Drosophila melanogaster: one gene and its partners. The protein of the gene in region 2 interacts with the protein of the main gene of each other region in a pairwise test. Each region holds a gene or a part of one and is shown on either strand. Other genes may lie near its edges.

The links.
Region 1: the proteins of Alg13 (region 2) and vari interact in a two-hybrid assay, tested with the Drosophila melanogaster proteins (one large-scale study listed by BioGRID).
Region 3: the proteins of Alg13 (region 2) and Grip interact in a two-hybrid assay, tested with the Drosophila melanogaster proteins (one large-scale study listed by BioGRID).

The regions. Positions count from the first base shown.
Region 1 is NT_033779.5:20,789,815-20,801,611, forward strand, and holds the start of vari (varicose), read right to left. Parts: upstream 7,229-11,797; 5' UTR 6,945-7,228; coding exon 6,839-6,944; intron 6,321-6,838; coding exon 6,223-6,320; intron 5,442-6,222; exon of another isoform or gene 5,194-5,441; intron 5,125-5,193; exon of another isoform or gene 4,992-5,124; intron 4,333-4,991; exon of another isoform or gene 4,246-4,332; intron 2,453-4,245; coding exon 2,300-2,452; intron 1,851-2,299; coding exon 1,353-1,850; intron 907-1,352; coding exon 808-906; intron 739-807; coding exon 577-738; intron 522-576; coding exon 311-521; intron 239-310; coding exon 1-238.
Region 2 is NT_033777.3:29,137,470-29,147,347, forward strand, and holds Alg13 (Alg13 UDP-N-acetylglucosaminyltransferase subunit), read right to left. Parts: upstream 1,105-9,878; 5' UTR 1,058-1,104; coding exon 542-1,057; 3' UTR 501-541; downstream 1-500. Other genes in the region: Vha100-1 (vacuolar H[+] ATPase 100kD subunit 1), read left to right, coding at 1-54, 115-217; superdeath (suppressor of ER stress-induced death), read left to right, coding at 1,273-1,294, 4,741-5,596, 5,660-6,376, 6,440-7,103, 7,163-7,368, 7,435-7,743, 7,804-8,029; CG14511 (uncharacterized protein), read right to left, coding at 8,364-9,332; CG11882 (uncharacterized protein), read right to left, coding at 9,724-9,878.
Region 3 is NC_004354.4:5,960,879-5,972,830, reverse strand, and holds the start of Grip (glutamate receptor interacting protein), read right to left. Parts: upstream 6,553-11,952; 5' UTR 6,266-6,552; coding exon 6,094-6,265; intron 1-6,093. Other genes in the region: fs(1)M3 (female sterile (1) M3), read left to right, coding at 8,674-9,284, 9,358-9,493, 9,550-10,042, 10,094-10,480, 10,543-11,022, 11,080-11,342, 11,395-11,952.

The DNA of each region.
Region 1 (11,797 bases), on a different chromosome or scaffold from region 2:
ATCAGTTCCTGGCTGTTGTGCAGGATCTTCAGGGCATTCGGTGCACAATCCAGGATGCACATGCGCCCACTGTTGATCACATCCTTGATGGACTGCAAATGCGTGCCGTACAGATTGCCATTGTGCTCGCCGTACTCCAGGAACTCGTTGTTCCGCACGGCCTCTTCCATTTCCTCGCGGTCCATGAACCAGTAGCTACTGCCGTTCTCCTCCAAGGCGCGCTTGGGGCGACTGGTATCTGAAGTGGTTCCGCGAATACAATGCATTTATGAATATTCATATCCAAAATGATAGCTTAAATTGTGCTTACGTGGAATGACCGCTCCGAACTTGTCCACATCGCTGTTGATCAGCCGATTCTTGAGCGTACGTCTTCCCACCCCGGAAACACCGATGAGAACCAGGGTTTTCCTGCGGAACGGCGGCATCCGCGTGACCTCCTCATAGAGCAGCAGCTCCGCCTTGTCGAACTCGCAATTGGCCACAGATCGGTACATGGTCTTGCGCTTTCGCTTCGAGATCTGTTGCAACACACAATGTTTACTGGGTGCCCATTGCGATACTATGAAAACTCACTCTTGTTCCGCAAATGCCAATCTTGTGAACGTAGTCCGCCTCGGGGGCCACGAAGGCTTTGCGCCGCTCCTCCAGCTCTTGGGATGGTATGAGTCCAATTTTGTCAGATTCGGCAGTAATGTTCTTGGCCTGCCACCAGTTGGGATCCTTTACGTTGATGATCTGCAATGCCAGGATGATGTACATTGATCAGGATAACTAGATGGGTTGTTTTTTTTCTGACCAACTCACCTGCAAAATGTCGCCCGACTTGAAGGGCAATCCAATATCCCTGCATGGCAGCAAGGAATCTTCGGATGGATTGTATGTGAAAAGGGCACGCATGTAGCACTGTTGGTATATGAGAACACAAACCTTGTTACTATTTAAGCATTTATCACTTTTAGTAGCTTTACTATGCCAAGATTTACTTACTTAGTTGCAAGCGATTTGAGAAATTTCAAGGGAATTCGTTGTATGTTTGTCTAATAGTAACTTATTGCGTTGATGATATATATCATTATTTTGAGTAAGTTGGGTTTGATAACTAAACTATTACTGCTTACAAATAAAAACGGTCATAAGTGAGTAATTAGCATACAACTGGATAGCTAAACATGTAAGTTGGCAAGCACAACAAACTAAAAACCCTTTCTGGGCAAGAACATTGTTCAAGATTCATTATTTGAATTTTAACTGGCCAATAAACTTATTAGGATAAACTTCCAACTAATCGGGGCTCATGCAAGCAAGCAGCAATCTGTGGGAGGAACCTTCAAGCCAAACATCGAACTTACCGTCAGTTTCTTGCCCGTCTCGAGACTCGCGATGCCATTCTGTTTTACCTGACCCCCACTCACAGTATAGCGACCGCTCTTGATCTCCTCGTCCACGTTCGGCCCGATCTTGAGGGTGAGATTCTCCTTGGCCCGCGACACCTCCACCTGCAGCTCATCGGGAGTGCGAACGGGCGTACCGTTCACCTCTAGGATGACATCGCCAACGTGCAGCATGCTCTGTTTGTCGATCACCCCGCCCGCCAGAATCCTGGCCACGACCAGCTGCTTGAATTCGTCCAGTTCGACGGTCAGGCCCAGCGGCTTGCTGGGATCTCGGCGCAGACCCACCATCTTGATGGTCTCCACTGGCATCTTGGTGTTGAGGACGTCCTCGGTGAACAGGTAGCCTCCCGTTTGGCGTTGGCTGGCGATCTCTAGTTGGCTGGTGGATCCCCCGGCAGCTTTAAGTCGTTGCTCGTAGAGTGCTCCTATCTCATCATGGGCGCGCAAAAGAGCCTGAAGGAAGAATACATAAGTTGTTAAAACAATGTCTATACTAGCATGGTTCATCTCTTAATGGAAAGGGTGCATCATGTTTTGATGGGCCTATGGCTTAAAAAAAACAAACATATCAAGAGCACGTTTTCTGCCTTCTTGGCAGACCTTACTCAGCAATAAGGAAACGACAGCAGTCTCAATAAAAACTTTTGATATTGCCTGGCTGGTGTTTGTTTTAAATGTTGGATAGCTCAGCAACTGATATACAATTACGTAGCTACCGGATGCAGAAGGAGCCAAAGATACAATATCTTAGGTGCATCTCAGAAACATACATAGATGCAAGAAAATCGTTTGTTTCGGATGGTCAGATCCACGTGTTCCATACTATATCCTGCTTGCTGAGTTTTTCATATCTAACTAGCCAAATAGAGAGGCTTTCGCCACGACTTTCCCTGGCTACTTACACGAAAATGCGGCTGGGCGAGAAGCTTGGCGAGCTCTCGCGACTCCAGGCGCCTCGAGGGTGAGAACTTGCGGATGATGTCGTCGCAGATGGGCTTGTTGTTCAGATGAGCGGGCAGGAATAGTGGCACTGGCTGCGGCTCGGTCGGATTCAGCTGGAATGGCAGAGAAGCGGAGAGATGAGTTCGTCATGTGCGGCTAATTAAATTCAGAGCTCTTCGTCTGGGCGTGCCTGCCCTAGGTCAAGTTAAGATGCCTCCGACTTAATTGAGTGAGTGCGTTAATTGGTCCAGCTTTTGGGCAGACTTCTCTGGCTCTCCATGTACTCAATATATATGTATACATGTACATATGTCATGCCATTTAACCCCGGGTGAACTCAGGTCCACGCTGACAACACAGTGTGTGGAGTCTTAGGTCAAAAATTGGGTCGCTTGCCATTTGAATTTGGGTCGCATGAAAAGTGAGTTTTCTGCTTTAATTGCACATAATTTCATCTTCCGGCTCCATTTGTCCCTGTCTACAACTACAGCGTTTGTTATTCCCTGCTTCTTGCGTCCATTGTATTTATTCTGGGCCCATCGGCAATTTCCGCCCACGATGGGAAAGTCATCTGAGTCAGCTCATGCAATATTTATGCGAATTTAGCGTGGGATGGCTTTTCTTCTCCGCTCTCTGGAATCCGAAGAGCGTCACTATCGCCGGAGAATTGATAAGCAGAAAGCGAGAGGAATGCATTCTCTGCACAAGAACTCTATTCTGGGAAACTTGTCAGTTGTTTGTTTCTATAAAACTGAATGGAATTTCCAACTACTATTTATAGCTTAATAAGTGTGAGTTTTGAGCTATGTAAAACTCTTTTGAATGAGTGATTGGAAGTTTTCTTACTACTCATTATCATAAAACAAAAATATACTTTTGGATATATGTATATGGTATTCCAAGATAAGCTTTTGATCGCATTTAAATATATTTGTGGATGAGTAATCCCGACTGCTTTTGTTTGTTTATTTATCGAACCAGCGAAGATCGTATTTCCGCAGCGCTCTACGGATTTTCGCTAGCTAAGCCCTTTTCCGTGTGAAAAACTGTGAAGAAGCCCCACGCGACAGACAGTCCCCACCCTTTTTCACCACACACCCACATTTGTTATTGATACTTTGGCCTGGGCTTTCACCTCCACTCTGCAAAATGTTTTCGTCATGACAACGTCAGTTTAAAATTGCCTCAAAATATTGTGTACCGCAACAGGTGCTTACTAATTAAGCAAGCTGATAATTAGACACACGTAAACAAGTGGCGAATTTGTTTCATATTCGAAGGCTGTGGCTGTGAAATATTTAACCTAAAATAACCAAAGCAACTAGATAAAGTTATAAGACCTTAATGGCATTAAGTATGCAATAACATTAACAGTTGATCATATTTTTAGTTGACTTTTATTTGTTTTTTATTTTATTTTTTTGGAGCCACTCCCAAAACGCTGATGAGCGCTTGTCGTGCATATGTGTGCGTGTGGAGAGAGCCACTCTTTTTGAGTTTCATAGTATGGAGTTTGGGGTTTTGGAAATGCCAAAGCATGGCCAAGACAGTTACTGCTTGTTGGCCAGGTTACAAAACAGTTCTCGGCGACTACGTCATCAATTCAAGCTCGGAAAAGCTTTATGCAGCGGGGTTACCAAGGCACTAGCACAACACACTAATAACTGTTCCAGTTTTTCGTTTTTCCGTTTTTACAATAATATTGATCGATTCGTAATTAGCACCTGAAGTGGGCTTATTAATTTTCACACGGAAAATGGTTTATGAACATTGTTGAATTCGAAAGAGAGAGGGCAGAGAGAGCACCAACTAACTGTTGCTTTTCGGTTTCAAGCCGCCCGTTTAAGCCACGCTCACAAACACCACCGTGAAAACACCTATACTACAGTCAGGCACCAATGCTCACTCATTCGAATGGGCCGAAACCAACGAAGCGCGCGTTTCAAACCGGAATGTGAACCTCACCTTAGCACTGTTCGCAACTAACTGACTCACGAGCTATGGAAGCAAGCGGCGAGAGCTAGTGAGCAAGTTAGGGCTAGCTTTGTTTGCTGCTCAGTTCGCTTGCCGCTGGCTTGCCGTGAAAAAAGCTCCGCGTGAGCCAAGTTACAACTGTACGCAGTCTGTTATCCACATGTTAGCTTGTACTTAACAGTGACTTAAAACCAGCAGTGACGCGCCCTCTCTTTCTGTTAATGAAAACCATTTGAAACTGTAGAAAACTTTTTAAAATACAAATATGTACATACTTGGGGTATATCTAAAATATAACAATAACCAACATTAAAATGTTCTGTTAAATGTTATACTGAAATTAAATAATCTGATCTTAGCTTTCCAAATATTATAATTCAAATGTTGCTGAAACATATTTATTTAACTAGCTTTATACTTTGTTCAGTAAAACAGAACCTTAAATAAGTAAGTTTGGCTATAACATGCTTTGCAATGTTTTTACCAACTACTTCAGTGATCTTAACAGCATCTTATAGCAAGCTTTTTCGATCTCCCGACCACAGCTGCATTAGTAGGCCAACGAGCTGGGCGCTTTTTGTGCATCGTTTTCGAGCGCAGGTAGCATAAAAAGCGTAGTGTTTACGTTGGAAAATGTTTCCAAACCGGTTTCCTTATTCACACTCAAATACACACAACTTCTTTGGGGCGTTGATGTCAAAGAGTTGGCACGGCGACTTGCGTCGAGTTTTATGTAATCTGCATAAAATGGGGGAGTGTTCCAAGGAGCGGTGACGACAGGCGAGTTGGGGAAAGGAAAACAGGGGAGCTGGTAGTGACATTTCATATTTTCTTATCTCGTGACTCGTGGCTTAATTACTTTCACTGCCTTTCTCAACAGCCGCCGACCACAGCAGAAAACCACAAACGAATGAGCCTGCCCAGGAAAATGCCTCGGAAAATGTTGGATTCTAATTATGGTCGTCGTCACACGATGTCGCTTTCCATAATATTTGTTGTATTTGGCTTTTCCGTACTGCTAGTTTGGGTCTTAATAATCATTGTTTTACGCCTATTTTTTACATACTATTTAATTCCCCACTTCTTTATTATTCGCCAACAGAATAACTTTACATCTTAGAAAGGGCATCTTCAATTTTGAAAATTAATTTTTAAAAATTAATTAAAATATTTTGTTATTTTTCTTGTATACAGAGCACAACAAATTCGTTTTAATTTTGGTTGTAACTGCCTCTCATTGTTTTTCTAGTTGACCTGCGTGTTTGCCGCAGGAACAGCAAATAATATTTACAATTTGATTAGGCTACAAACTTTTTGGCAGTTCTTTTACCGTAAGAAACCTTCGAGGAGGCGCTAAATGTGTCGGGTCAAGATAATTTCCACTTCAATGGTTATGTCACGATGATCTAATAAAATGCCTCCCATCTGCATAAAGGCAACTCATCTGCCGAGGCAATAGAGGTCAAGTTTAGTGCGAAAACTCAAAAGAGGAAGGCAAAAATAAAATAGCAAGTGCTAATGGGCCATTACGAAGTCAAAAAAAAAAAAAAAAACAATTGCAGTGCATGGCTAAAGCGAGAAAATCTTTTAAAATACAGAAGGATTTTCTTTTCTTTTTGGCGCTTGTGGAGGCAAGGAAAATGATGTAATAAGAAAAGCAAACACACGCACATACAAGCAGCCCGGAAAATTCTATCTAGACCGAAAAATCAGCATGCAATGCCATCGATGAAGTAAACACAAATGTGGAAAGTGTGTGCGTGTGTGTGGCTGGGTATGGAAAATGGGTGGAAAACCGTATGCGCAATTTTCTTATTGAGCAGATGCTCGAAGGCGTTTAAGTGGGTCAGAAATTGTACAGAGATATTTTCTCTCGCCTTTTTACGTTTATATGTTCTGGTCTACTTGCCATCAGTTCCTTGTGGGGCGTGTTGGAGTTACTACGCAGCAATCCCTTGAGGAAGATCTCATCGTGGTCGGATAGGTCAGTCGAGTTGCGAAAGGCGGCTAAAACGGAGCGAAAGTGTTTTAGATTAATCGCAGTCGTTAAATGACAATCGGAAACAGATGAAATGACATTCGTTTTGGCAGCTTAATGCTACCCTTTTCAATTCATACAATTCATACAATGATGGAATTCTAGAGGGAAATATTTAGATATACATGCATCTGATTTTTCGTTTTATAATCATATTCTTTGTTATCGATTTATTGTAAATACATTTAAAGACCGCATATCTTCAAACAGGTTTCAGATTATTCTTAGCTATGAGTACAAATCATTATATTTACTTCAAGCAGGCTTACTGAAATGCAACATAACTCTTGTCTCGTTTCACTTTTTGAATATGAATTGAAATATTTAGTTTGTAAATCTTTTAACTATTTAAACAACTGAAATCTTCAAAATTAAAACTTTATTAACAGAGCCTTAAAGGAAAAAGAAACAACAATAAAATGATAGTTTGGAATTTCGTATGAACTTCGCTTAAAATTCTCCTTTTGAGGACACCCCTGGCACGTACCGTTATCGGAGGTATCGTCCTCGCCATTCACTTTGTTGTTTCTGGCCAATAGCTCCACTTTATCCTGGCGAGCTTGGCGCCGCGACCGCGCGCTCCACCGAACCATTTTGAAGGAACTGGGAGGTGGCCAAAATAACAGACCGAATGAAGTAACCCCGGAGGACAGTCTCGTATTTCGGCCAAAAAAGGGTTATAACCCTTGTGTTTTTTTTCTTAGCCAGCCATATGCTTAGCTACTTGAACAGAACATGTCTTCCAGTGATAATCACTTGTTGTTATTGTTATAAACACAACGCCACGCAAACAACAAAAACAATAGCGCGGCTAAGAATTTCACTCCTCCAACAGCGCAAAAACAACCGACTTGTTTGTGAGAAAGAGGCTAACTAAACTGAAAACCGCTTTTGTTGCAGGTGATGCCAAAATCAAAGCTCCTTAAAACGAGAAAGCTTTTGCAGACAAAAAGTCAAATAACGTGTGCCTATCGGTTTTTAAATATTGTGCTTATCGGCGCCACTTCTTTGTTGGGTCGGTACGGTAAATGTACTTTATGTACGGAGTTCGAAAGCCTGTCATAAAAATGCATTCCACTGTTCTCAGGCCATTTAAATTTAATATTGTTTATTATCTTTAATTTTGCTTGTGATTGCTTTTTCTATAGCTATAACATAGCTAAAAATGGATGGCTTGGGAATCGCTGATGGTTTGTGCCATTGATAAACCGTGCGTTAATATTATAAAAAATTTACTTCGATTTGTACATAAATATGTACTCTAAACTGGACGACCAATAAATGTTCGTTCATATGCCAATTAGAAATCAATTTAATTAAATAGTCTTTAAATTGCTTATGGAACTTTATTTATGCCTTAACAAAACTCTGGGATGCAACAAACTTCGTTACTTCAATAAATATGCAATATTTTATTTCTATTAATCGAAAGGGTAATAGACGTCGACTTGCCATAGATGAAAAAACATCGTTTCTCGCTTGCGGTATTTTTCGAAGTTTCAGCATGCTTCGGTATTTTTCGGCTGAAACGATGCGACAGCTCTTGTTTTCATTCCGTTTTGAGCAGCGTGCGCGTACGGTGCTTTCCTCGCATGAAGAGTAAAAACAAATTAAATACCACTGTGGAATAACATCTCAGCGAACGAGTATACGTCGGAAACCGATTTGTCGCGCTAAGTAACACGAGATGCTTTTGGGATTCAAAAAAACCCATATTTATGTGATGATATATTAATGTAAACCCACTGTTTCGTTTACATTTTCGTTTTTGAATGACTGGCTGCGGAAATAACTATAGATTCGCGAAAGTACACTAAATCAGGCAGTAAAATCGGATTGGCAATCTTGGGAAAAAATCGAAGGAAAAGAGACGCCAGCAGCTTCCTCGGATTGTTTTGTTGTTTTCAGTTCGTTAGTGTGTGGCCGTTTTTCCGCCTGTGTTTGTGCAACAAAGTCAAAGTCGTCGAAGCTGCTGCAAAAATACGTGAAATGCAAATTGTGAAAAAGTTGCAAAAGCAACAACAGCAACTAGCAACAACCAACAACAACGCAACGACAACTATAACCGCAATCACACGGCCAACGCAACAATAACAACGGCCACAACAAAACGGCTTCGCGTGTTTTGAAAAATTGCATTGCAAATTAGTAATTAGCAACAACTAAAACAATAGCAATAAAAAAAAGGAAAATTGCGCGCCAAAATCGAAAGAAACAAAAGGATTACACATAAACAAACCGAAGAAGCAGAAGCAGCTGAGCGAAAGAGAGAGATAGCGAAAAATCAAAACAGAACAGGCAGAAATTCCTGTTTATCCACCTTCACCTCCGGCGACACCCCCCGTCGTGGTGAGTTACTTGTCTTTCGGTATTTGTGCCTTGTATCTTTCTTTTTGGTTCTTGTTTTATCCTCCGTCCGATTTGCTGTATGTCCTGCTGTAAAAAAAATTCGCCAAAAGTGCAAAAGTCAAGGCCCCCGTTTGATTCGCGCCCCTTTGACCATTGTGCGCAAGAAACCCGCAAATGTGCAAAAAATTTAGCTCAGCCATCGAGAGTCCTTGATTTTAGAGGCACAGTGGTTAAATGAGTGCCAAATGGTCGGCATGGTAACAGAAGTTTATTACATTTTTCTATTCTTAAACTGTTTCTTTATATAAACCTCATAAATAAACGCAGTTTTTAAATATATAAATGCCCAGATACGTTTTGAATTGTTTTATATTGAATGCCCTTTGATATAAAATAACACTCAACCTATTGGCAGACTCAGCTGGGAATTGAGCAATTTAAATATATATTTATACATGGAGAAATATGGATTTGAAATTTGCACCTTAACAATATAACAAAGGGTAACACAATGCTGATTAATGCACTGTGACGAAATCGGGGGAAAAAAAACGACTATTCGAATAATATACGCAAATGTCGAATGTAGTCAGGTAGAAAAGTGCCATATTTCGATTTCCAACAACCCTGAACAAGATTACGTGCCTTCTTTCCTGTCACGGGAATTGGCCAGCATCGGGTTACCTTGAGAATCGAGAACCCAAAACCGATAGTGTGTGGAGAATTCAGGAATGCGATTTGATCATTTCGACCTGAACCGGGCTTATAAACCGGCCTGATGATGTAATCTCCAAACCGGATTGTCTGCCGTAGATCCTTGTTTTGAATGGTTATTGTTTTCTAGCCCCCTAAACCGGATATAATATTAACTCTACTTTTTTTTTGACCCTTGGCGATTCTGAACATGCAAAAGGATCTTAAAAGGGGTTTTGAATATATTTATACCTATACTCTTACAAAATTAAAATATAAGAGAGATGCTATAATAAAGATATTAGCTTATAGTCAAATAACAATGGTAAATTATTTTCTGTTTTGCATTCTTGTGTGTTTTTTTGAAACTGATTCGAAGTTCAATTATCGGAAAGGAAAACCGGATTATATTGATTCCATTGTCCAATCTTCTTCGGACATAATGCCATAAATTTCCAGCCTAATTACCCACCCATTTTTGCACTTATCCCATTATCTCCGTCACACCACTGTGTCACCGATGACAAAACCAACGCCTGGGAACGAAAAAGAGCTGATAAGCAAACACTTTATGTCAGCTTGAGTCTGGGAGTCAGGCCAAGCCCGAAAACCCAATAAAGTGGCATTCCAAACCGGGGGCATTCCGAAGCTCGGTTTAAGTCCACTGTGCCACGACCTCGCGGCATCTGCGTCTGCGTCTGTCCCGGTAATCAAACGTCTAGACACATTCCGTCCGTCGGCTGCAGCTTCTTTAGGCTCCATCAACCGCCACCCGAGCAGCCTGCAGCAGGAGCGACCTCCTGTCCCTACCAACTGGTTGAAGAAGGACTCACTGCTCACAGTGAAACCCCGCCCAGGGTAACTTGAAATACTTATCAATACTTAATAGGAGCATCACTTGATAAATGTGATTGATTTAATTATACATGTAGTTAAAGTTATTACCACGGTCATAATTAAGCTATTCCGTCGACAAACAACTTAGGGAACTTCCACTGTACCAGCGTATATACAAACAAACAGTAGACACCGAAAACACACTCGTACATAATCCCGTTTTATTGCACGGCTGGGAGGCTGGAGAAGGAGAAGCAGAAGCAGAATAAATAAGAGACAGGAGAGGTCCTTATTTTGTTTTTCGCATTTTGTACTTTTAACTCCCCTGGGAACTGCGACCCGAGTTGTCGAGATGTTGAGTTTTCGAGAGCCCGAGAATCGAGAACGGCAACGGCGAACTGCAAACACTCCACTCAACTCGGGCTCAATCATTATGAAAACAGCTCGGAATGCTCGTAAATTACAAAACCATGGTTTTATTTGTCAAAATTTGAAACTTATTTGAACAGGCGCCGAGAAACGGCAGCAGGCAGCGGTTTTTTGTCGAATCGGGTTTTATTTGTGGGCTGCTCTCTCCCGTTCTCGTTCTTGTTCTCGTTGTTCTTCGTTTTTGTTTTGTCCATTTTGTCCGTGCCGTTTCGTTGTGTTCGTGATTAGCATGTCCGTATGCCCCGTCCCACTCACTCGCACGGTGGAGTATGTGGTATGTGGATCCCAGACCCTGTTGGACCCTTTCTCCCGTCCCTTTCCCCCTCATCATACAGTGGGTTTTCGGTGTGTCTCCATATGAGCTTCGAATTTCACTTGATGTTATCTATGAATTTCTAATTACTGCTTATTTTGTTGTCCTCTTTGCATTGTTAACCCTCGTCCTCATCACATGGTTGCCCATTTGGGTTGGGTTAATGATTGATAAATTGTCACTGATGAGCTCAGACACCAAAAAAAAGTACGTTATCAACCGCGATTGCCGGCTATTAATCTTGGCTTGATTGATGGACTCAAAATCCCCGACACATCAAAATTTTTAAATGAAGCCTGCATTTATGCAGGATAAGCCCATTCCAGCAGATGTTGCATACTTAAATTCGCCCAGATGCTCTAAAGATTTCTACTCATCATGAACTGGGTAATCCAACTAACTCTATGTTACACAACTAAATTCATTGCCATGTATAATTCCTGAAAAAACAAGCTCCACATTTATCGCCATTATAGCAGATAATTTCCTTTTGCGCTTTACAATTTTTGCTCAAATTACGATTAGGTTAACTACATATGTAGCTTAACATGCAAATGCCAATTGAAAACACATTCCCATTTCTGGTATTCGCTTCATTTGGATTAGATTTGCGACAAAAAATATCTAGCAAGGCCACTTAAACGGGCTATCAAACTAAAAAATAAAGAGGAAATGGGTTGAACCAGCTTTATGAATACCCTTCCAAAGGTACATATATAGCTAGTATTTATGACGATAATGAACCTAATTGAAGATTTAATTGTGTATATCATTCGAAGAACCACAATTGTACATTTCCGAGTGCCAAATTTATTCTATTGAATT
Region 2 (9,878 bases):
TCTGGTACTCATGGAGGGCTTGTCTGCCTTCCTGCACACCCTGCGTCTCCATTGGTAAGTCACCTAATCCTCGAGAAGTATGAAATGGTATCTAATTGAACGGCTTTCTCATAGGGTCGAGTTCCAGAGCAAGTTCTACAAGGGCCAGGGTTACGCCTTCCAACCCTTCTCGTTTGATGCCATCATAGAAAACGGAGCTGCCGCCGCCGAGGAGTAAATAAAGCGGAATATCGGTCAGAGCAACAACCAAAGCACGTTGAGAGTCTCATTGCGTTATATGAAATTAACTATCCAAATAAGTGGAATCTACCAGTTACAGTAACAAACATATATGTACGTTTTAATGTTTAATTGTCGTGAATTTATCTATGTATGTATATCGTATAGCCCCAGCAAACGTTAGATTGCTAACAATATTTAATGTTCTTCGTAGACGTTCTCCTGTTTATTAACTATACTTGTAAACTCAAATAAATAGAAAAGGCTAACCCCTTGGGGTTGGCACCAAAAGAAGCTTGCATTTGGGAATGCTTATTGGGAGTCAATGGGACATCAGCTGATTGATGGCGGAAACGAATTTGCTAAGATTTTCCGGTTTCGTTTCATAGGGCTTTAAGGCTTCAAAGTCCAGAGTAGCTAGCTGGGCATCCACGTCGGTAACTTTGCAGTAATACAGATAGTTTTCAGCGGCCAGTTGCTTGGCCAACTCCAGTTGATGATTGTCCATGAGCGTGTCATTTATCACAATGAGTCCAGGTTTCTGGTTATTTAGTATATCCATGCAAGTTCCGGCTCCCGCATGTCCAATAATTAGGTCTGCGGACTTGATGTCCTCCGTATTTGGCCGGAAATTGTACTGCTCTATCTGGATTCCGTAGTTTTTTCTTATCAATTGTATTTCATCGTCTGTTAATGGTTGCGAATTTCCGTGCTGTATGACGAGTTTGGTGCATTTCCGGTTCTGTAGAGCTTTGAGTGCGGGTTCCGTGGATGCAGTTGATATTAGAGCATCGAATTTGGTGGTACCAACGGTAATGTAAACAGTGTTCAAATGCATTTTCTGTAAATAGTTAAACAACAAGACACAGCTGTTACGAGTTGTGCTTCCTCTTCGCCTTTGCCATTCAGCCGGCGTAACTCATACGACGTTCAAATAAATGGCAGCCTGGAAGCTCGAAACACCGGCCATAACCGTTACTTTATCTACTAGGAGTGCAGTAAATAAGTAAAAAGAGTAGTGAAATAGTTTTAAGCAATACTTGTTTAAGCAAAATGCTTAAATTCAATTTTAAACGTAAGTATTCCGCTTTCACAGCGCTCAGTTTATTTTGCTCTCACGCAGCCAAAGTGCGAATTTGGCGCACGCGATCGCCATCTCGCTCATTGTGCTTCCATTCCATTTCCATCGCAGCTTGTTTATTCCGCTTATTCAGTTCTCAACCGTTAGCCGTTACGGTTGTGCCCGCGCTCGTCGGGAAAATACGCGAAAGAACTGTGCTCCGTTTAGTGATAGTCCCTTGGCAAATTGCATTTTGATTAGTTTGGCAGCTCGGCCTTAGTACAAGTGATTTGTTTACATTTAATTCAATTAATTAGGCGTCTGCCAGGCTGCCAACAGTGTGTGCGCGCTTGTGTTGGTGACCGACCACAAATCAGTGTCGCGCCAGCGTAACGGTAAAGGTGCGAAAGAGTCCGACAAACGGTTTTCCAGGACGGAGGTGAAACGGTAAATTAAATTATTCCCACGTTTCGAATGCTGCGTATGTGTGTGTGTGGGCGATTTGTGCGTGTGTGTGCACTGAGAAAAATGCACTGGCATGGCGATCATTTTGCACCACCATTAAACTAAAAATATAAGTACATTAAACGATTTGAGCACATTTCTTTTTGTGCAGTGAAAACGCTTCAAGTACTTAATTATCCTAGGTGCACAAGTAATACAACAATTTTAATATCCATTTGCCATGTGCGTTTCGCTTTGATATTTCTTTCTCTGCTTGCCGGCTGCGGTTTGCACGTCGGAAGGTAATTGACTAATCAACACTTCGTTTAATTTCGTTTTTATATCTGCACCCTCCCCATTTGTTTATTTGGCAAACGCTTTTCAAGTTTGCCTGCCATCTGGCAGCGATTAAAATAAAAAAAAAACAAACACTTTTCTAGCCTCAAATGCTCGATATTACGAGAACAAGACGCTCACGCAGGACCCATAAATTAGCCAGCCAGAAACTTTCCTTTCCTTATGATCGCCAATTTATGGTGATCTCCCGCTTATTTACTAGTCAAATTTGCAGAAATCATCTGGTACTGCCCCAAAATTCAATTAGAGCACCCGTGCAAATTATCGAGTTGCCCAGCGATCGGTTATTCTATTTTTCCAACACCCCAGGCCCTCGGTTCCACCCTCCAGAATACACACCCACACACTTACACACGCGTGGACCATCACTCAACGGTCAATAAATTGGCGCTCTCTTTTTTTCTTGTTTTTGGTTTTGTTTTTGTTTTTGTTTTTGTTTTGATAGCGAGTAAAAGGCCGCGCGATTTAAATTTAATGTCTTAATTGTGGGCGTGTGAAGAACCAATATTTACTTGTCTCCGCTGTCTCTTGATTCCCTTTTGCTTCCCATATCACCCCCCCCCCCACAACTTTCCCAATGATTTGTCAATATTCGCTTTCCCACTCGCAGGCGTTCATGTCCTTGTGTTTATTAACTGTCTGCACTGTGAGAAAACCGTACATTCTAGTCCTATAAAATTGGTTCCACTGATCAAAATGAAAAGGTTCACTTTAAGCAAAGTTACATATGTCCGATCTAATTAGTTAGGAATTTTGAAGATTTCCAGCAAATAATGCGTGAATCGAAGTGTACTAGCCTTATCCATCGCCATATGCTGACACATCGCCAGCGGCTTACACGCAGTTTATCAATGAAATATTGCTATAAATTGGATCCCCAACGAGCGCGAGCGACCCAGGGATACGGACCCCATGGAGGCGGGATGGGATGGGCGGAGTGGGCTGAGGCGGATGGAGGCGGCGTATCATTTGCAGCCTTATTTTAATGAAGGTCATCGAGCCAGCGACGGGGTTGACTTCTGTACATGGTTGTCGGCGTTTAATTGCAGCAATTTGCAAAAACAGCAGCAGCAGTAGCATCATCAGCCGAAGGAGAAAGAGCAGGGAGCTGCAGATGCTGCAAATGCTACAGAAGCTGATCAAATTAATGCCATAACTCAATTAGCCGGCGGGCGTATTTGCATGAATATATAAGTTGATTTACGACAATGTTGTTGTTGCCCGCTCAATTTGTGCTTAAACTTTTGCCAATTGATAATAGCGCTGCTCTACGAGGAGACATCTGTGTTCAGCTACAATCTGAGAGGCTGCTGAGGAAACTCGCTTTTAGTATATAAAGTAGTCCCAAGAATGGGTCCCCTGGGCCATTGACATCGCGATAGGAACGTCTTCAATCAGACATAGTAATAGTAAACCGAAATGTATAGCTATTCTAGCAGATTATTTTTAGAGCATATACAAATATTCCTTTCTTCTTAATTTAAATGAAACTTTTCCCACTTTCATTGACTAAAATTCGACTTTCCCAATATCGTACTAATTGTTAAGATCACGATCGCGATCTATTAACATGTATTTATAACGCTCTTCCTATTTAAAAATAATTCCTAAGTTATTAAGTGTAAAAATCAATTATCGCCTTGCTTTAATTTACGTCTAAAATCATCATAATTGTGTGGGTTGCTTTTGGATTTGATACGGGGAATTGGAAATGCCCTACGCATATTCCAACTCCAGCAACAACTTCTGAATGGGAAATATTGCGAATTTAAATATATATTTCAGTCGATGACACTGGCAGTGGGAAACACCCTTCCCATCCAGCCAGTTGCAAGTGGCTACCCAACGGAGCTCCACTAAAAAACCCGCTAGGTGACTTAAGCTTATATTTAAGTCGCCGCGTAAGCCAGCCATTAATATTTTCCAGTCTTAGTGGGTGTGTTTCATTTTTACAATTGAGCACGAGCACAAAAACTAGGTAGTATTCCAACCCTTTTTCATATAAACCTATTAATGACATTAATCCTTACATCAAGAACAATTGCTTCAGATTTTTCAAATACTTTACCCAACCAGAACCAAGCGCTCTTGGTTTAAGTAGCGTATAACAACGTCTTTATCGACTAAGATATTCTGCTGGATAATACATCATTTTGCTTATTACGTGAGCAATGATTTTTTGCTACTCGTTGTAAAATCATACACTTGTTTTCCCCATCGACGATGAGCTAATGAATCAGTTACGTTCTCTACGACCCCTTCTGAGCAGCAAACTAAACGGTCTCCTACTCGAAAACCGCAAGCCCTGTTCGCAAGCCCCTTCCTGTGGCTTCGCTTGTCAGCCACAAGGACATGGCTCATGCCCAATTTACGCAATTTAATCGAAACACCAGATAGCCAAAGGGGTTGGCACCGGACCAGAGAAACCACTTAAGTGGAACCCCGAGATTGCAGAATGTGCAACCTGCAGTTGGATATCATATTACTTGGGCTCATATTGAAAGCTACAGCGGAAGTGGTTGTGGAAGTGGTTGCCCAGATCCTTCTTCCTGTTTATGAATTGGGAACTGCATTTACCTTATTAGGCTACGACTTAATCTTCCGTTTTAGTTATTGGTTTATGTTCATCATTATAAAGTTTGATTCATCTTCTATTGCAGCCATCATGGTCGTTAAGGAGATACCGCTCCATGAGAATCTGAACATGGAAAGCCGACCCATGAATGCCGCTACGCCCACCACTACCACCACGTTCTCGAAAGGCGGGCGTCGCTACAGTGTGTCCCTGACCACCGCCATTCTGCTAGCCTCCTTCTTCATCTGCACCCTGCTAGCAGTGGGCTTTATTGTCTACAACTTTGCCACTTGCGCTGAACTGGAGCCCGATTCCGATGAGGATGTTGTTTGCACCAGCTACCATTTGAGGAGGCTAAAGGCTGGACATGATGACACACCTAAATACGATAGAGATGTCCGCCTGCCGCACTCCATCCGCCCGCTTAAATACAACATCACAATCGAACCGCAGCTCAGCGGCAACTTCACCTTTGCCGGTAGTGTTCAGATAAGGATAAGGGTGCTGGAGGATTGCTATAACATCACTATGCACGCTGAGGAGCTGAACATTTCGCGTAGCGACGCCTCCGTCCACCGAGTGCAGAACAATGGTGAACCGGAAGGCGACGGTCTGCGGATTCACAAACAGTACCTGGTGGGGGCCAAACAGTTCTTCGTGATCGAGCTGTATGACAAGCTGCTCAAAGATGTGGAGTACGTGGTGCATCTACGCTTTGATGGCATTATCGAGGACTATCTGCAGGGATTTTACCGCAGCTCCTACGAGGTGCACAACGAGACAAGGTGGGTAGCTTCTACCCAGTTTCAGGCCACAGATGCCCGACGAGCTTTTCCCTGTTTCGATGAGCCCGCGCTGAAGGCCAACTTTACGCTGCACATCGCTCGTCCTCGCAACATGACCACCATATCCAACATGCCCATTGTGTCCAGCAACGATCAGTGAGTATTGCCTTTGCTATCAAAGTAATCATTCTATTTAAGTGTAATCTTTGATCTTCTTAGCGCCACCATGCCAAGCTATGTGTGGGATCACTTTGCCGAATCGCTGCCCATGTCCACCTATCTGGTGGCCTATGCCATATCCGACTTTACGCACATCTCATCCGGTAACTTTGCCGTCTGGGCTCGAGCGGATGCCATCAAATCGGCCGAGTATGCCCTGTCCGTTGGTCCCAGGATTCTCACATTCCTGCAGGACTTTTTCAATGTAACGTTCCCCCTGCCGAAGATCGACATGATTGCTCTGCCAGAGTTCCAAGCGGGCGCTATGGAGAACTGGGGTCTAATTACCTTCAGGGAGACTGCAATGCTTTATGACCCAGGTGTAGCCACGGCCAATAACAAGCAACGAGTGGCCTCGGTTGTGGGTCACGAGTTAGCCCACCAGTGGTTCGGAAACCTGGTAACACCGAGCTGGTGGTCGGATATCTGGCTTAACGAGGGGTTTGCCAGTTACATGGAGTACTTGACGGCCGATGCAGTTGCGCCCGAATGGAAACAGTTGGACCAGTTTGTGGTTAATGAGCTGCAAGCAGTGTTCCAACTGGATGCCCTTTCCACATCCCATAAGATCTCGCACGAGGTGTTTAATCCGCAGGAGATTTCGGAAATCTTCGATAGAATTTCCTACGCCAAGGGTTCAACTATTATTCGCATGATGGCCCACTTCCTCACAAATCCAATTTTCCGTCGGGGTCTGAGCAAATACCTGCAGGAAATGTAAGTCCTTAGAGAATGATAACCGATTTATACTCGTATATTCTAAAATTGGGCCGCTTTCAGGGCTTACAACTCTGCAACACAGGACGATCTGTGGCATTTCCTTACCGTTGAAGCCAAATCCTCTGGGTTGCTGGACGACAGCAGAAGTGTTAAAGAGATCATGGATACGTGGACGCTGCAAACTGGCTATCCGGTGGTTAAGGTGTCAAGGCATCCCAACTCCGATGTGATTCGTCTGGAGCAGGTCCGCTTTGTGTACACCAACACCACCAGGGAGGATGAGAGTCTCCTGTGGTACATACCCATTACGTTTACCACTGACTCCGAGTTGAATTTTGCCAACACCCGTCCGACTACATGGATGCCGCGCACCAAGCTGTACGAGCTGGAGAACAGGGAACTCTCCTTGGCCAAGTGGTTCATTTTCAATGTTCAACAGACAGGTTACTACCGCGTCAACTACGATCTAGAAAACTGGATGGCGATCACAGAACACCTGATGGATGTGGACAACTTTGAGGACATTGCTCCTGCGAACCGTGCCCAGTTGATCGATGATGTGATGAATCTGGCCAGAGGTTCTTATCTGTCCTATGAAACCGCCATGAATTTGACTCGCTACCTTGGCCATGAATTGGGCCATGTGCCGTGGAAGGCGGCCATCAGCAACTTCATTTTTATCGACTCCATGTTCGTCAACTCCGGCGACTACGACCTTCTAAAGGTTTGCTTTTAACCATTGGGCGTGCTATAAATATTATTTGACATTTCTGATTCTCACAGAACTATCTGCTTAAGCAGTTGAAGAAAGTCTACGACCAGGTGGGCTTTAAGGACTCGCAGGACGAATCAGAGGACATCCTGGTGAAGCTGAAGCGTGCCGATATTCTGAGCATGGCCTGTCATTTAGGTCACCAAGAGTGCATCGCGGAGGCGAGCAGGCACTTCCAGAACTGGATGCAGACGCCGAATCCAGATTCAAATAATCCGTAAGCAATAAACGAAGTAATTAATACACTCAACACAATTCCAATAAATTATTACTTCCTTTTCAGCATTGTGCCAAATCTCAGGGGAGTCGTTTACTGCTCTGCGATACAATACGGCACCGAGTACGAATGGGACTTTGCTTTCGAGCGCTTTTTGAAGACGAACGTGCCTGGGGAGAAGGATTTGCTGTTGAATGCACTTGGCTGCTCCAAGGAGCCCTGGTTGCTTTATCGTTTCTTGCGTCGCGGCATTTCCGGACAGCATATCCGGAAACAGGACTTGTTCCGGGTATTCGCAGCAGTTTCCACCACGGTAGTGGGCCAGAACATAGCCTTTGATTTTCTGCGCAACAACTGGCAGGAGATCAAGACCTAGTAAGTGGCGAAATTGTCGCTTTATTCCGTGCATTACTAAAGGGTTTGCATTTTTTCCAGCATGGGCTCACAGATGTCCAGCATCCACACGCTGTTCAAGTTCGCCACGAAGGGCTTCAACTCCAAGTTCCAGCTGGGCGAATTTGAGAACTTCGTGAAGGACGCCCACTGGGACTACGACAGACCCGTGCAACAGATCGTGGAGCACATCGAGACCAGCGTCGACTGGATGAACAAGAACTACAAGTCGATCGTGCGGTGGCTGGAGAACGAGGCGCAAGCGTAAGGAACGGATTCTGCGGCTTGGCTGGATCAAGGCTGCAGCAGTATTAGATTTCGCAGCTGCAACTGCATGGGTTGGGCCACCAATGCATTTATGTGTAATATTTATGTCGCGTGTTTTACCAATTCAGAGTCGCCAAAGAGAGAAAGCCCTTGGCAGATCGTCCAGAGCATCACGTTTTTCATTACTTTTAATGTATGCCTTCTTTTCATAACAATTATGAGTCTTGTAATTTTAATTTGTACTTAAATGTAATTGTAAATGTAAATGGAATTATAACATTGTTCGTCACAAAAAAGTTTTGGAAAGCCTATTCCTGTTTCACAGCCTGGTTTTTTCATTTCGGAACTCTGATCACATTTGCAAACATCAAGGTGCCCACAAAGACTAGCGCGGTGCCCAGCCAGTGCCACCAGGTGAAGGGATTTCGGAAGTATACGATCGAAAAGACCAGCGAGATGAACTTGCGGAGTGTGAGGATCAGAGTCACCGTCAGCGAGCTGCACTCCGTGGTCAGGGTGTAAACGGAGCTGATGCACAAATGCTGCGCAAGCACGTTGCCCAATAAGTATAGCAGGATTAGGGGCACTGCCACGCCCAGGAGGGGCAACTGGTAGGACTCGCCCGTGAACGCCAAAAGCCAGTGCGTCCGTATGTCGTCATGCATGAGCAGGAAGGCGGGCAGCGGCAACAGGTGGGTGTAATACAACGCTTCCCTGGCGCACTTGCCATGACGTCGATACAGCAACTCCTGTGTAATTCCCATGTAGGAGGAAACAAATAGAGCCAGCACCAAGAGTGCCACGCCCAACAGCCACCAGAACGTATCCGCCTCGGCGCCACTATCCAAATTCTCCATCTTACCCACCAAATCCGGACTGGAGAAATATGTGCAGACGAAAATGCCCACGCTGATCATGAGCACCGATATGTACTGACTCAACCGGTAACTCCTCTTCAGGATCAACGTGCACAGGCACATGTTGGAGATCAGCGAACCGCCGCGTATGATCATGTGCAGTGTCATTGGAACTTTGAACTTGAACACGTAGTTGTTGCATACGCTGGTCAGGAAAAACATGGCCACGAGGAGCGCATAGTCGCGCAGGCTGATCACTCTCTGGGCCAGGCCAAACTTCGAGGTGAAGATGAAGCCCTCGAGGGCAATAAATGCAAACTGGGCGCCAGTTATAAGGTTTCCAGCGCCGGGATCCAGTTTAACCAGGAGCTCCAAGAAGACGACGCCACTGCAGCAGCCCAAGAAAACGCCGCAGATGGCCGAAATAGCGCGGATGGATAAATTCATGAACTCGCGCAACGAAAGTAGACGATTCCCACCAACTTTAACCTACGATCTGGGCCATGACGAGCTTTTAAGCCAACTTACTTTCTCTTCGGCCATACAAAACGTAAACAAATGCAACAGGTGGTTATCGATAAAGTTCGGTTCGGGCACAGCTGATGTTGGTCTATCGAAAGTGGTTGAAATTCAAATATTCCAAGCGAAAAAGAAAAAATTTATGATTTTAAGAGAAGAATATTTTATTTAATGTACATTACATTCAAAACCAAACTTAAATATGTTGCCTAATCACATTCGAAATATTCGCACCAACAGTCTTTTACAACAATTACAAAATACAATGATGACAATGCTAAGAAAGAAATTACAGATTAGCAAATTAATGGTATATTACTTATTTTTCCTTTTCCAGCAAGGCAATAATTTTGTTTAACTTTTCCGTCTGCTGGGCCTCGAAGTTGTCCAGTCTCTTAGACACTAACAGCGTCAGCTTCTCAAATCTCATGTCGATGTGCTCCTTGAGGATTGCAACATCGGTGGAAGGCGGTG
Region 3 (11,952 bases), on a different chromosome or scaffold from region 2:
CAGCATCATCAGCATTCAACAGGGAGTACCAACGTCCACTTAATCGTACTTGCAACTCATTAAAGTAATTCGATCGTTATGAAATTTGATTGATTGCACGATAAGGGAGTTATCTGTTGTAAAGTAACACTTTATTAAAGGGTTGCTGCTGATTGGTGGTGGTAAATATTTATAAGAACCTTTAATGTTGTATGATGGTAGAATTTAAGAAAATGCCAGATATTAGGCAAACATGAAAGACCACAAATATTTGCACACACACAATTGAGAAGGGTGAGGAAAATGCTTTGCCAGTTGTGGTAAGTGGAAAAGTTGAAAAGTTGCTCGGGCGGTGGGTGGTGGTAGACAGGCAAATAATTATGGCAACTGCAGTGCATATGCAACAGAGAGGGAAGCCTAATGAGACAGAGACGGGCGAGCGGTTGTCATCCAACAGCAGACTTTACAAATTAATCCAAAATGCAAGTTGTAGACGCGACAAAAGGAGCCAAACGCAAACAATAACAACAACAAATTATATTAAACGTGTGCTGAACACAGTGGCGTAGTTGGGGTTTTCTTAAGGGGCGCACCTTAGGTGCCAACTAAATGAATATTTCACTGTTTTCATATACCGATTTCGGAGGGGTTGCTGAAACCCCTTTAACCCCCTGGCACACGCCTATGGCTCCATGACTGTTGTTGTTTTTATTTTCAGTATTTGTTGCTATTTTTACACTGCGCTGCACCATCAGCCGTTGAAATTGTGACATTTTCCCTCACTACGCATATTTTCTGGTTGCAGCGGAAAATGGGGAAAATGGCTGGGGAAATGGAGTAGGCTGGCAGGAAAAGCGGTGAAAAGGGGCCGCGGATCGTGCGCATTGTGGACCGTCTCACACAAAGGACAGCGTCTGTTCGGCGGCTCTACAAAATAAATGTATTTTCAATTCCAAAGTGAACATTCAAGCTATGCGATTTGCATTTAAGTCATAAAAAACATTATGGGAAACTATAGGTAAAAGCTGTTTATTCATAGTTTTCTTAAAAATAAGTTTGCAAACTCTATGGCTTGTTTCTCAAGACTCAATTGATTTATCTTTAAAGATGGTTCGTTTGTAGGAACCTTTACTGTAGATATCAGTTTGTGTATCTAAAATGTGTGATTCCCCTGCTGTCTGCATCTCCATTTCTCATTTTCTCCCCCCTTCTCCCTACCCTTTCTCTTTCTCTGTCTCGACTTATGTTTGCTGCCGAGTGACGTCGTTGTGGCAGATTTCGCGGCAGCAATAGGAAAATTAAACAAAAATAAATGGCAGCAAAATGTTTGCAACATGCCACTGCAACAACATCAACAACAACAACAACAGCAGCAGGACCAGCAATTTGTTTACAAACAGGAGGAGACCACACAAAGGAAAAGTGACCATAAAATTGGTTCGAAATTGGTTCTGGGTATGCACAAAGTAATTGTCAAAAATAGGCGAGAATTGAAAAAAAACTTCAAAAGAAAAGTGCCCGAAAGTATGAATATATTTTTGCAGCAAATTGCTAGAATATATGCCAAAACCATTAAAAATTTAATATACATGTCGGAGAAAGGAAACTTTTGCTAGAGGAAATTGGAAAGTTACACGATGCATTTGGAAGTCAAAGGAAAATAATTACATGCTTATGCTTACTCTAAAGTACTATGTGAATATCATTCAGTTGATTTCTACAAATTGCGCATTAACTTGCAACGCTTTCATTCGAATTGAAATATCCCTATTAAATCAGTGGACTACAGTGAACCCTGGTTGGTGTGCCTCCATCTAGCGACTGGAGTTCAACGGAAGTGCAGTGAACTTTTATACAGTTATTGTGGCGGAACTTTGCTTTTGAGTTATCAGTTGGCAGCAGCTGCTGCCATTTCATTCCACTCCAATTCCAGCCGCAACCCAACCCATTCCATTCCATTCCTTCCCACTGTGGCTATTGTGCCCATACGGCCCACTGTGCACGGTGGGGCTGGGAAAGAGGTAACAGGCACAAATGTCATTTGCCTGGAGCTCGCTTTGTTTACGTGCTGCTTCTTCCGTCGTCGCTTCCGTTTGATTTGGCAGCTTTATGATATGGGGGCCCTAAAGGATTTTCACGCCTCCCAAAACAAAAGAAGCACTCTTCTTTGGCACTCGAAAACAAAACACTCAAAGCTCAGTGGCGTAGGCTGAGTTAGCTATAGAAGGGATCTTTAAGGACATCATATCAATTCATTCATAGTTATTTCTCTTTTATTTTTTATTTATCTTTATTTTGAGCTTTAATTTATATTAATTCCATTAGAGGTTTAAGTCAGGGGGGTTTTAGTACACCCTCTCTCTTTCCCAATCCCCCTTGTGCGACCAACTCTGATAAATAGCACCAACTGTTTTTAATTGCGTCAAATTGTTGAGTTCCCTTCGACGCACTTCGGACTCCCTTCCCCAGCGCCCATGTCCGCCGTGCCGTTGTTGTTGTTGTCTTTTTGTTTACACTCAATGGCCGCAATGTGGCGAAAAAATAAACACACACACTCGCACACGGGCACACACGCGGAGAAAACTCTTACGCACATGGCACGAAAATTGGAAAAGTGGGAAAAGGTGGGGGGAACGCCCAAAAACAAATGGGAAAGTGCAGCTGGACGGTTGGCAAGGGGGAGGGGGGGGTGCACAAAGCAGGGAAGTGACGCGACAATCTTACACTGAGAAAAAGTATTCCCAAGAACCCGAAAATTGAAATGTTTTTCGAAGCTCTACAACTCTTATATTCCCTAACCTAAACACAATATTTATTATACTTATACTTTTCATACCCTTCGAAGTTGCACATGTAAATTTTTTCATGTGTAGGGACACATATTTGAATATTTACCCAAGCAGGCATAGACTTCGTGTCGTCGTCAACAATGCAATGAGTTAACCCGCTCCTTTTCTCTGACGCCCTTAAACCATCCACTCAATTCCCCAAACTCCCCAATCTCACCCCATTCCATCCATCACATATCACCCAATTCCTTGGAGTACAAATAGTAAAATAGACCGGGAATTATGAAAATCCCTGGATGAGCGAACCTACTCCCAATTTTTATTGTTGCTGCATGGCATGAAATCCCCGAAGGCGAGGGTGCTTAAAATCGGGAGGAGCGATGTGCGTCCCCAGGGAGTAAAATAAACCCATCAACAGCAGTCAAATGTCGCCAACGATTCGGAAATTGCAGCAAAACAGAAGCATACACAACAAAAAAAAAAACTTAAAACTAACACTTAAAGCATAGAAAGGACTTAAAAAAAAAATACACCATGTTGCGAACAACATTTGGAATTAAAAACTCCCCCTCGATCGTAAAAAAGAAAAAATTCACATACCCTCAGATAAATGGTTAAATCACAATTGCTTTCAAATCAGTTGTAAAATTCGAACACTTCAATTTACTGGTAATAAAAAAGTAACAAAGGAAAAACCCACAAATAGATAGGACAGAACGCGACCCATTTTCTTTTGGCGTTTTACTTGTCTTTCAAGCATTTATTCAATGCAGCTCATAAAAAATCGACATATGCAATGAAAAATCGCATAAAATCTGAGAAAAGAACACACATGGTAGATGTAAAAGACAGAAGGAATTATCCACTATCAATTCATTCCCGATTTTTGTCATTGGACCTCTTGTAATAATCATCAAAATTCCATAAATTTAATCGCCTCATAAGTTCGAAATATTTTCCATGTCAGACGTGATCTTTTTTCGATTCGACCATCACAAAAAAGATGAAACTCTGACCTCAATTGCATTTTTTCACCATTTATTTATCACCGTGAAAATGTATCAATTTATTGCCAAGACAAATGTCATTTAATCAAAAAAAAAATGTCTAAGATGTTCTAGCATTTTATTTTTTTAATTTATTTTGGTATTATTTTACCGAAATAATCCTTGGGAAGCAATGCAAATTTAGATCGTATTCCCATCGCCCGCCTGTCAACGCTGACAGTATAATCTGTTGATCTATTATATCATTTCGACATTTTTCGAGTAGTTCCAACTCTTTTTACGATTTCCAATGTTTTGTCGTTGATTTTATGGGCACTTAATGTGCCATAAAAGTGGACAAGAGAGTGAGGGGTTCTTTTTTCGATTCCAATTGGGGGGAGTTGTCATCTGTTTGATTTTGGGCCCGATGTTTTTGGGCTGTTCGGTGCATTGACATTGAACACCTTTCGATATTCTCAGGCCTTTGTTTGCATTCGAGGGAGTCAAATGAGCAGTCAAATCAATCGCTGCAGTTGTTGTTTCTGCTGTTGTAGCTGTCATTACTGTGTAAACAAGTGACATCTGGTCATCCTCCCCCCTTTTTGATCCCCCCCTTTTGGATGAGTACACGCCTCTGTTTGCCTTCGGATAGGCAACCATCCACAGCCACCAATTGCAGATGCATCTACATACAAACGTGCGTGCCATTAGGTTTACACAGGGGGTCGAAACAATAGGAGATCAAATGTTATGTTTCAACAGGGAAATAAATCTCGAAAGGCCTTCAAGCTTCCACTATGCATACACTTGAAAACTAAGCAAGACCAATTATAATGAAGCCTTAAGCTAAACCTATTCAAGCTGCTATTATCTTGACCACTGCTGTACGACTTCATCTAGTCATTTGGCATCAATTGACGATTGTCTGGCCCAGTAAGCGCATCCACATCGACCAACTGCCACCAGCAGAAGCTGCATTCTGGCCAGGCACTTGGCCTTATCTACCAGATACAATCTGTGGCATTCCGCGCAAGAAAATTAAGCAATGAAAAGGGGCAACAGCAACAGCAATAGCAACAGTTGGAGCAACAACAATGCGGAGCATCAGAAATATTTAATTAAATGCTTAATTACGCTTGCCATGCCATAAATTCATCAAATGCAATTTAAGCCCGCGCACACGAACAGATGCAGATACTTTTGTATCTCCTGCGCTTCTCTACTTCACCCATAGCACATCGGTATCTGGTTTCCTTCTCTTCTGGCCTTTTCATTCATTGGAAAGTTCAACTGCAGTTGCAATTGGAGTTGGGCCATCATTTTACGCCGCTAATGCCTTAACTGGCATAAATCCCAGCCGCCTTTTTCCTCGCGTCCATCCTGGCGGCACTTTTAGATCATTAATCCGCGAAAGATCAACGGAAAAGCTGAAAATAAAAAGAGAACAGCGTTCGCGGAACGGCTTTTAAGATCCTCAAAAAGGGGTGTCCTATCTAGATCTCAACTTATGATAGGTCAAAGTTGAAACAGTAGCCATGGAGGTGGGCGAAACTGATACTCTTTTCTTCCAAGCTAATTTATTATAGGTACACCAAATTCTCGGTATTTCTCTTTGAGATTGCGCAATCCATTCAATTAGGTCTTCCTTCAATTGATGGGAAATGCATCTGATCATCTGCTTATCTGATCAGCTCCAATTAGTCATGATATATAGAGCAATATAGCAGCGAACCGTTGAACTTCACTGATTTGGCAATCCAATTCGATTGCCATTCGATGGCCGGGTAATCCATCAAACTGCCTGCTGATCCTATTAAACCAATCGCTGGGTAATCAAGGGTCAGGTCACCCAGCTCCATCGGCTCCATGGGGGGTTTCTTTATTTCTTTGAGGGAAGGGGCGTTGCAATTGACAAATTTCGAGCGATCGGAAAATGAAAACGAAATGCGAGCAATTACTTTCAATTGAAAATGTCAAACATTGTCTTGGCCCACAAGCACACACTGAGCGAAAACTATATTTTCAACAGCACTTGGATGCTTGGATACTTGGATATAGAGATGCAAACACACCGTCGGATATTTGTATACAAATCTATATCTAAAGTCAAGCACTTGAGGGCCAAACGCAAGCACCTTGGGCGGAAATGCGATAACCCTGAGCGGGCGGGGAAAAGACGGAAAGTCGGCAAGTCGAAAAGGCGGAAAAGCGGAAAATGGGAGCGCACATGTTGGGCGCTTTTAGATGATTTTTGGCTGGCTATCTGCTGTGGAAGGAAGTGGGTTGGGGGAAATGGGAAAATTGGAAAATTCGAAGATTGGGAAAGCCCCATCACTTACCGGATAACATGGGCGCCAAGGCAGTGTCCGTCGGCGGATGATGGTGTCCATTGAAGGAGTTGTTGTGCGACTCCTGTTGCTGTTGTTGTTGCTGCTGTTGGTCCTGTTTTAGGGCGGCCGATTTTCCGGGCACACAGCCACCAATGGGCTTCTTCGATTTCCACAGTTTCATCTTGAGTTTTCTTTTCTCCAACTTCTCCCCAAATGGGAAAACGCAGCGATCTCTACGATTTTTCAACACTCATGGCAAATTTGGCATTTTCACAAAAAAAAAACTGTATATTTAAAAAAAAAAAAAAGGTAAAGTAAATTTAAAAACGAATTCGGTTTCCAATCGATATCGGGAAATTCGAAAACAATTTGGAAATTCAACGGCTGCGGCGGCGACGGCGACTGCGATGCGACTGAACCTGACGATGCGCGCACGTCCGCGGAGCACGGCCAAAAGTTGCACAATGAGCGATCTTGCCGCCAGTACTAGAGGTGGTAGAATTAACGATGTAACATCGATAGTATCGATGTTGCAGAACATTTTTGTTAACTTTGATGTTGAATTTTGTTATTGAATCCTTTATTGCAAATGAGTTTATATTTTTAGATAAATTTGTAGATAATAGTTAATCGAAAGTTTTTGTATAACCCGTATTAAATGTGTGTATGTATATATATGAAAATAAATAAGTAATAATAAAATATATTTGTATGTTTTAATTTTCATATTTATTAATACGAATACGAATGCACACAAAAAGAACAGAAAGAGTAATATTTTTCGTTTATTTTTCGATAGTCAATGTTCTCGCCATAAAACATCGAAAACATCGACGGCGACGAGCATCGATGTTTTTCCAGCTCTAGCTCTAGCTGCGTGACTCACTCGCGAGGAGAAAAGGAAGAGAAAAAGGAGAGCGAGAGTGGTGCGTAAGCGGAGCGCTTTTTGGGGAGTTTTGGCTACTGGAGAAAGAGTTTTCTCTCGCTCTTACTCTCGTCCTCTCTCTGGCAGAAGAGTATCCCATTGGGGAGGCACTCAAATCACAGACCGCCACTCCAAAAGCGCCGTTATGAGCCCGCTGATGAGCCGCAGGCATGACAATCAGCTGCTTCTGTTAACCGTTAAGCGGTAGTCCGAAATGGTTAATGGTTTAGTGTGTTGGGGGAGGGGTGACTTGGGTTTTGGCCTGTGACGCCAAACGCCAAACAACGAACGCAGAAAAAAATGCTCCCAAAACGGGTGTCGCGAATTTGCTAATTAGTCACGAAAAGCGCGACGGCAACTGCTCGAAATGGTCAACAGAAACAGGACACAACAAAAACCGAAATGAAATGAACCAAATCGGCAGCACGCAACCAGTGAGCACATCTGCTGAAACCAACAGCTGGTATTAGCCATGCACTAAGCCAACTAGAAATGGTACAAACTTAAAAGGGCATTCAGGAAAGTTACATTTTGAAAGTTTAAAACATAAAAGCCAATTTTGATCTACAAAATTTTAAGTTCACCTCAATTTAACATCCGATTGTATGTTTTGCTCTTATTTATTTTACAATTGTATATTCGTTACACTGGAATGTTGTTTGCATAACATGTCAATGCTGCGATCAATCAGATTTTGGGCAAAGTAAATATTTCAGCGGGTGTTCCCAACGGATGCCCCCAAATCCTGACCCCGAGGGCGATGACATGAATACCGTTTTCCTCTTGTACACCTATTAATACATATTTATATGTGCCTTAAATCCGATTTAACTGCAAGTACAAATGTGGCCACCTTTTAGGTTAAAGCTGCGGATTTATGGGTGACTTGGTAAGGCCCATTCCGCCCCCAAAATATTTCACATACATATGTATGTATGTGCATACATACGTACATATAAATTTATTTTTATGCGATTCCCTCTTCCGTGTTAAATGCTCTCTTCCTTTCTATCTTTTTTTTTTTGGTGGCTCGAGGTTTAATGTCTTTAATGACCTCGACTAATGATCGAAGCTGATTGATTCAGCAGAAACGTCGAAGGCACTCTCCAAGTTTGTCTGCCTTATTTTTAGATCCCCAGCCTTATATGCCCCATTCCCCACTGCCCAACCCCGTACGAAAAATTTAATTCCCAGTCCAAGGTGTCACTGCTGCAGGCGGAGAAAGCAGGACGGAGAGACGCGGATTGACTGACGAGTGCCGAGAAAATCGGGGAAAACTAATGCGACACATGGGAAAAATGCTCGTTGAGCGCACAAATGAAAGCACTTTCCGTTGCCTACATTCAGGCTGAGAACTCAAATCGGAAAACCAGGAACTACAAAAATATACATATTTCACTCTACATATAGTAACTCTGTTTATTCCACTGTAACGGAATAACAACAACTGTTCGATGAGTTTTTGTCTTTCGCGCGCTTTCCGTCACTCACAGTATTTCTTTTCATTTTACAGTTATACTAGAGCTCTCTCACGAAGTATAAATTGGTTTACAGTTACGAACAAGAGAAATGGCACACCAAAAGTAATGTGCCATGTGAATGGATTGAATATATCATTGTAGTTTAGTATCACTAGATACAACAGTCCCTGCAATCCTTGCGAAATGATTTCGCCAAGCGTGTGTGCAGCATTATTTAGTGTGTTAGTGTTAAATAGCTATATCGCCCAAGTACAAAGTGAATTATCAGCAGCAGAAGTCGCTGGAGATCCGAGTGCTGCCCAGCTGCTGCCCAGTTCCTGTCGCAATGGGTTGAATGGCAGTAGCTCTGGCCCGGAAATCCGTCTGCCCTTTGTGGACATGATGGTGCGCCATGAGAAGCCACTCTTTGTGCTCCGCGAACCGGAAGAGGATCTACTTTTACTGCTCCATGGACACGAGATTTTTCAGCTGCACGTGGCCACTGGGGAGAGGCGTCTAGTGCCGCTTGGTTACTTGGCGGGCCAGGTCAGTGGTCGCAGAGCTCTCGGAGCAGAGGTTGTGGCCTGGCGGGAGTTCCTGCTCCTTGCCATCGTTCTGGATGATTCCATGGAGGTTTACCAGTTGCCCAAGGAACTGCTCCTATCCGAAGATCCAGCCACACAGGTGAGCTTTGAGCCCCTCCAGGAGTTCTCGCTGCCAGGTGCTTTTCTACAGCTGCACCTTTTGAAACCCAGTGGAGATCAGGTGCTCCTCCTAGTGGCCTCCAATCACACCAGATCACACAGCAAATGCAGGTTGGGATTGGCATACATTTTCAATTAAAAATTGATTCATTATTCATTCATAATATTGACGACTTCCTCACAGAACCTTTGAGTGGCTGGACACCTACTTTAATCCACTCGAGGAGATCACTCTACCCGCCATTCGCGTTCTCCAAGTGGTTGGTCGTCAGCCACTTTATATCATTTTTGGTCGTTCTTTAAAGGGTTCCCAGTCAAAGGTGATATAACTTTTAATAATTTAGATGGTTCTTAATTCATTTATGTTTCCCTCTAGCTGGTGCTCACAATCTACGAGCTGGATAGAAACAGCCGAATCCTGCAACAACGCCAGGCTTTGACAGTTCAGGCGCAAAGTGTCCAAGCTGTTAGATTTCACGGGAGGAACTGCCTCATCGCCTGTACTTCCTCTGCATCTGCCTCGTGTATTTTCTTCCGAATGGTGGATGGACAATTTGTGGTGTACCGAAAGCATGCTCGAAAAGATTTGAGTTTCCGTCGATTGAGTGCCACCAAAAAGGGTCACCTTTTGATTGGTGCCCGTGCCAATGGCGAGGTGATCGTCTTCAGCTCCACTCGCCTGGATTGCTATAGTGGATTTCAGGTGGCTGGAGAAGCGGATCCAAGTGGATTACTTATTCATAAAAACTTGCACAATGAGACCTTTCTTTTGCTGGCCTATCGAAGATCCTCGAGTGATCTGATCCGAACTGTGCAATTGGGTGGCGTGGAAGAAATCTCCAACCAAGTGGGCGCTGCTCCAGATGAAGGTACATTTAATATAACTCTGTAGTGGAAATTTGAAACTAGTGATTTTACAGATCTAAGTGTTGTCCAATTGCATCGTCACGAGTTTGAGGAGTCCATCAATGCCTTACGTGGCCTCCTGCTGCGCCGTCGTTCCTCTACAGAAAACCTGAGAAACATTGTGGACATCTTAAAACGCAAATCGGCCATCCACCTCGACACGCCACTGCATCTAGTGCAGCAAGGACAAATAGGAAGACTTCAGTTGGTGGACGAACATCTGCGCACGCCCACCCAATTAAAGCAACGCTTGGAGGAACTTCGTCAACGATTTAAAGCGATCCAGACCAGGCGAACCACACGCTCTTTTGGGACAGGAAACGAGAACGATGAGCCGGAGACACTCAAAGCGCGACGATTGCGCGTGGGCAATCTTATCTACAAGGGACAGCTAATTTCAGGCAAGTATGGGAATTCAGGAATAGAATATGATATAAATCTTTTTTTTCTTCCTAATTTACAGGCCACATTTTGGATAACTCAAAACCACCTATGTTGACCATCAGAAACAGTCCTTTGCAGACGAAAAAGCTTAGGGTAAATCAATTGGTTACTCCCCAAGATTTCCGCAACTCCAGTGGTGCCCAGATTGCGCCTGAGGAAACCAGTGGCAGTGAATGTGTAGTTCGTCATCTCCGAGTGGAACAGATAAACGGAGTGCAGTGGAACGACTTTTTGGACTCGCTCTTCCTGCGCAGTCGTGACACTTCGATAGAAGGACGCTTGGTTATGCAATCGCGAGTCCGGGTGAACAGTCTAAAGACACCTCTGCTCAACGGACTCGTGGTGGATCGTCTCTTTAATCTGCGGCGTGCCCAGGTGATCAGTTCGAATATCTACATGTCCGCCTTCTTTGCTCCGCGTTTGGAGGCTCAGCAAGTAAATGGACTTGACTTTGCCCACGATGTACTTCATCGCGGTAGCAATGATACATGGATAAAAAGTTAGTGTCCTCCTTGATATATTCCATTAAATCATTTAACAAATCCATATTTTTCAGCTCCTGTTCGCATCAATCAGATGAGTGTTTCGGGTGACATTTTTGTGGGCAATACGAGCAAGTGGCAGCCACAGCCCAGACAACTCGACGATCCAATGGAACAACGTCTTCAACAGTACTACACGGGCAGGGTAACCATCCGCGGATCCCTGACGGTCACAAATGTCCTGCGAGACACGGCAAACTCACTTATAGTGCTCGGAAACCAATCTCTCGCCAGAAAAGATATACAATCTACGTACCTTCTTGATCAGACGCCACAGGTTGAGATTCAACTTCATTTAATTCACTTTAATGACAATAGTCTTTCCGCAGAACCTCACTAACTTGACCTTTGGACATGCCAGAGTTAGTGTTCCCTCAATGACCACCAGTTATGTTGACGGTCATCCTGTGAGGGATCATCTCCTAAGCGGAGGACAGCAGAACCAACATACTCACCCAAATAACACTCTACACATTATCTTTATGAATGCAACCATACTGGGCGATGTTATTTGCAGGGATTACAGTTCCCGTTTGGCGGAGATCGCAAAAGATGCAGTGAGTCATGGAGACGCTGTTAATATCACGGGGCACAAACACTTCCAGGCACCTTTGACTGTTCAAGCACTTCAAGCCAATGAAATAAACGGAGTACCTGTTAGTGAAATAGTGGTGAAATCAAACACCACCCAAAACTTTACGGGTACAAAGACCTTTGCCCGTGTGGTGGTGGCGAATGATATCAACGTTCATGATCATTTGAATGTGAGTCATCTTAATGGATTGCCATTGCAACAGCTGCTTGGTCACGATATCAGCCTGCAACGCCTCGAACTAACCGAAACCCCACATCTGGAGAATCTTCATTTTCGGCGACTTAATGGATTG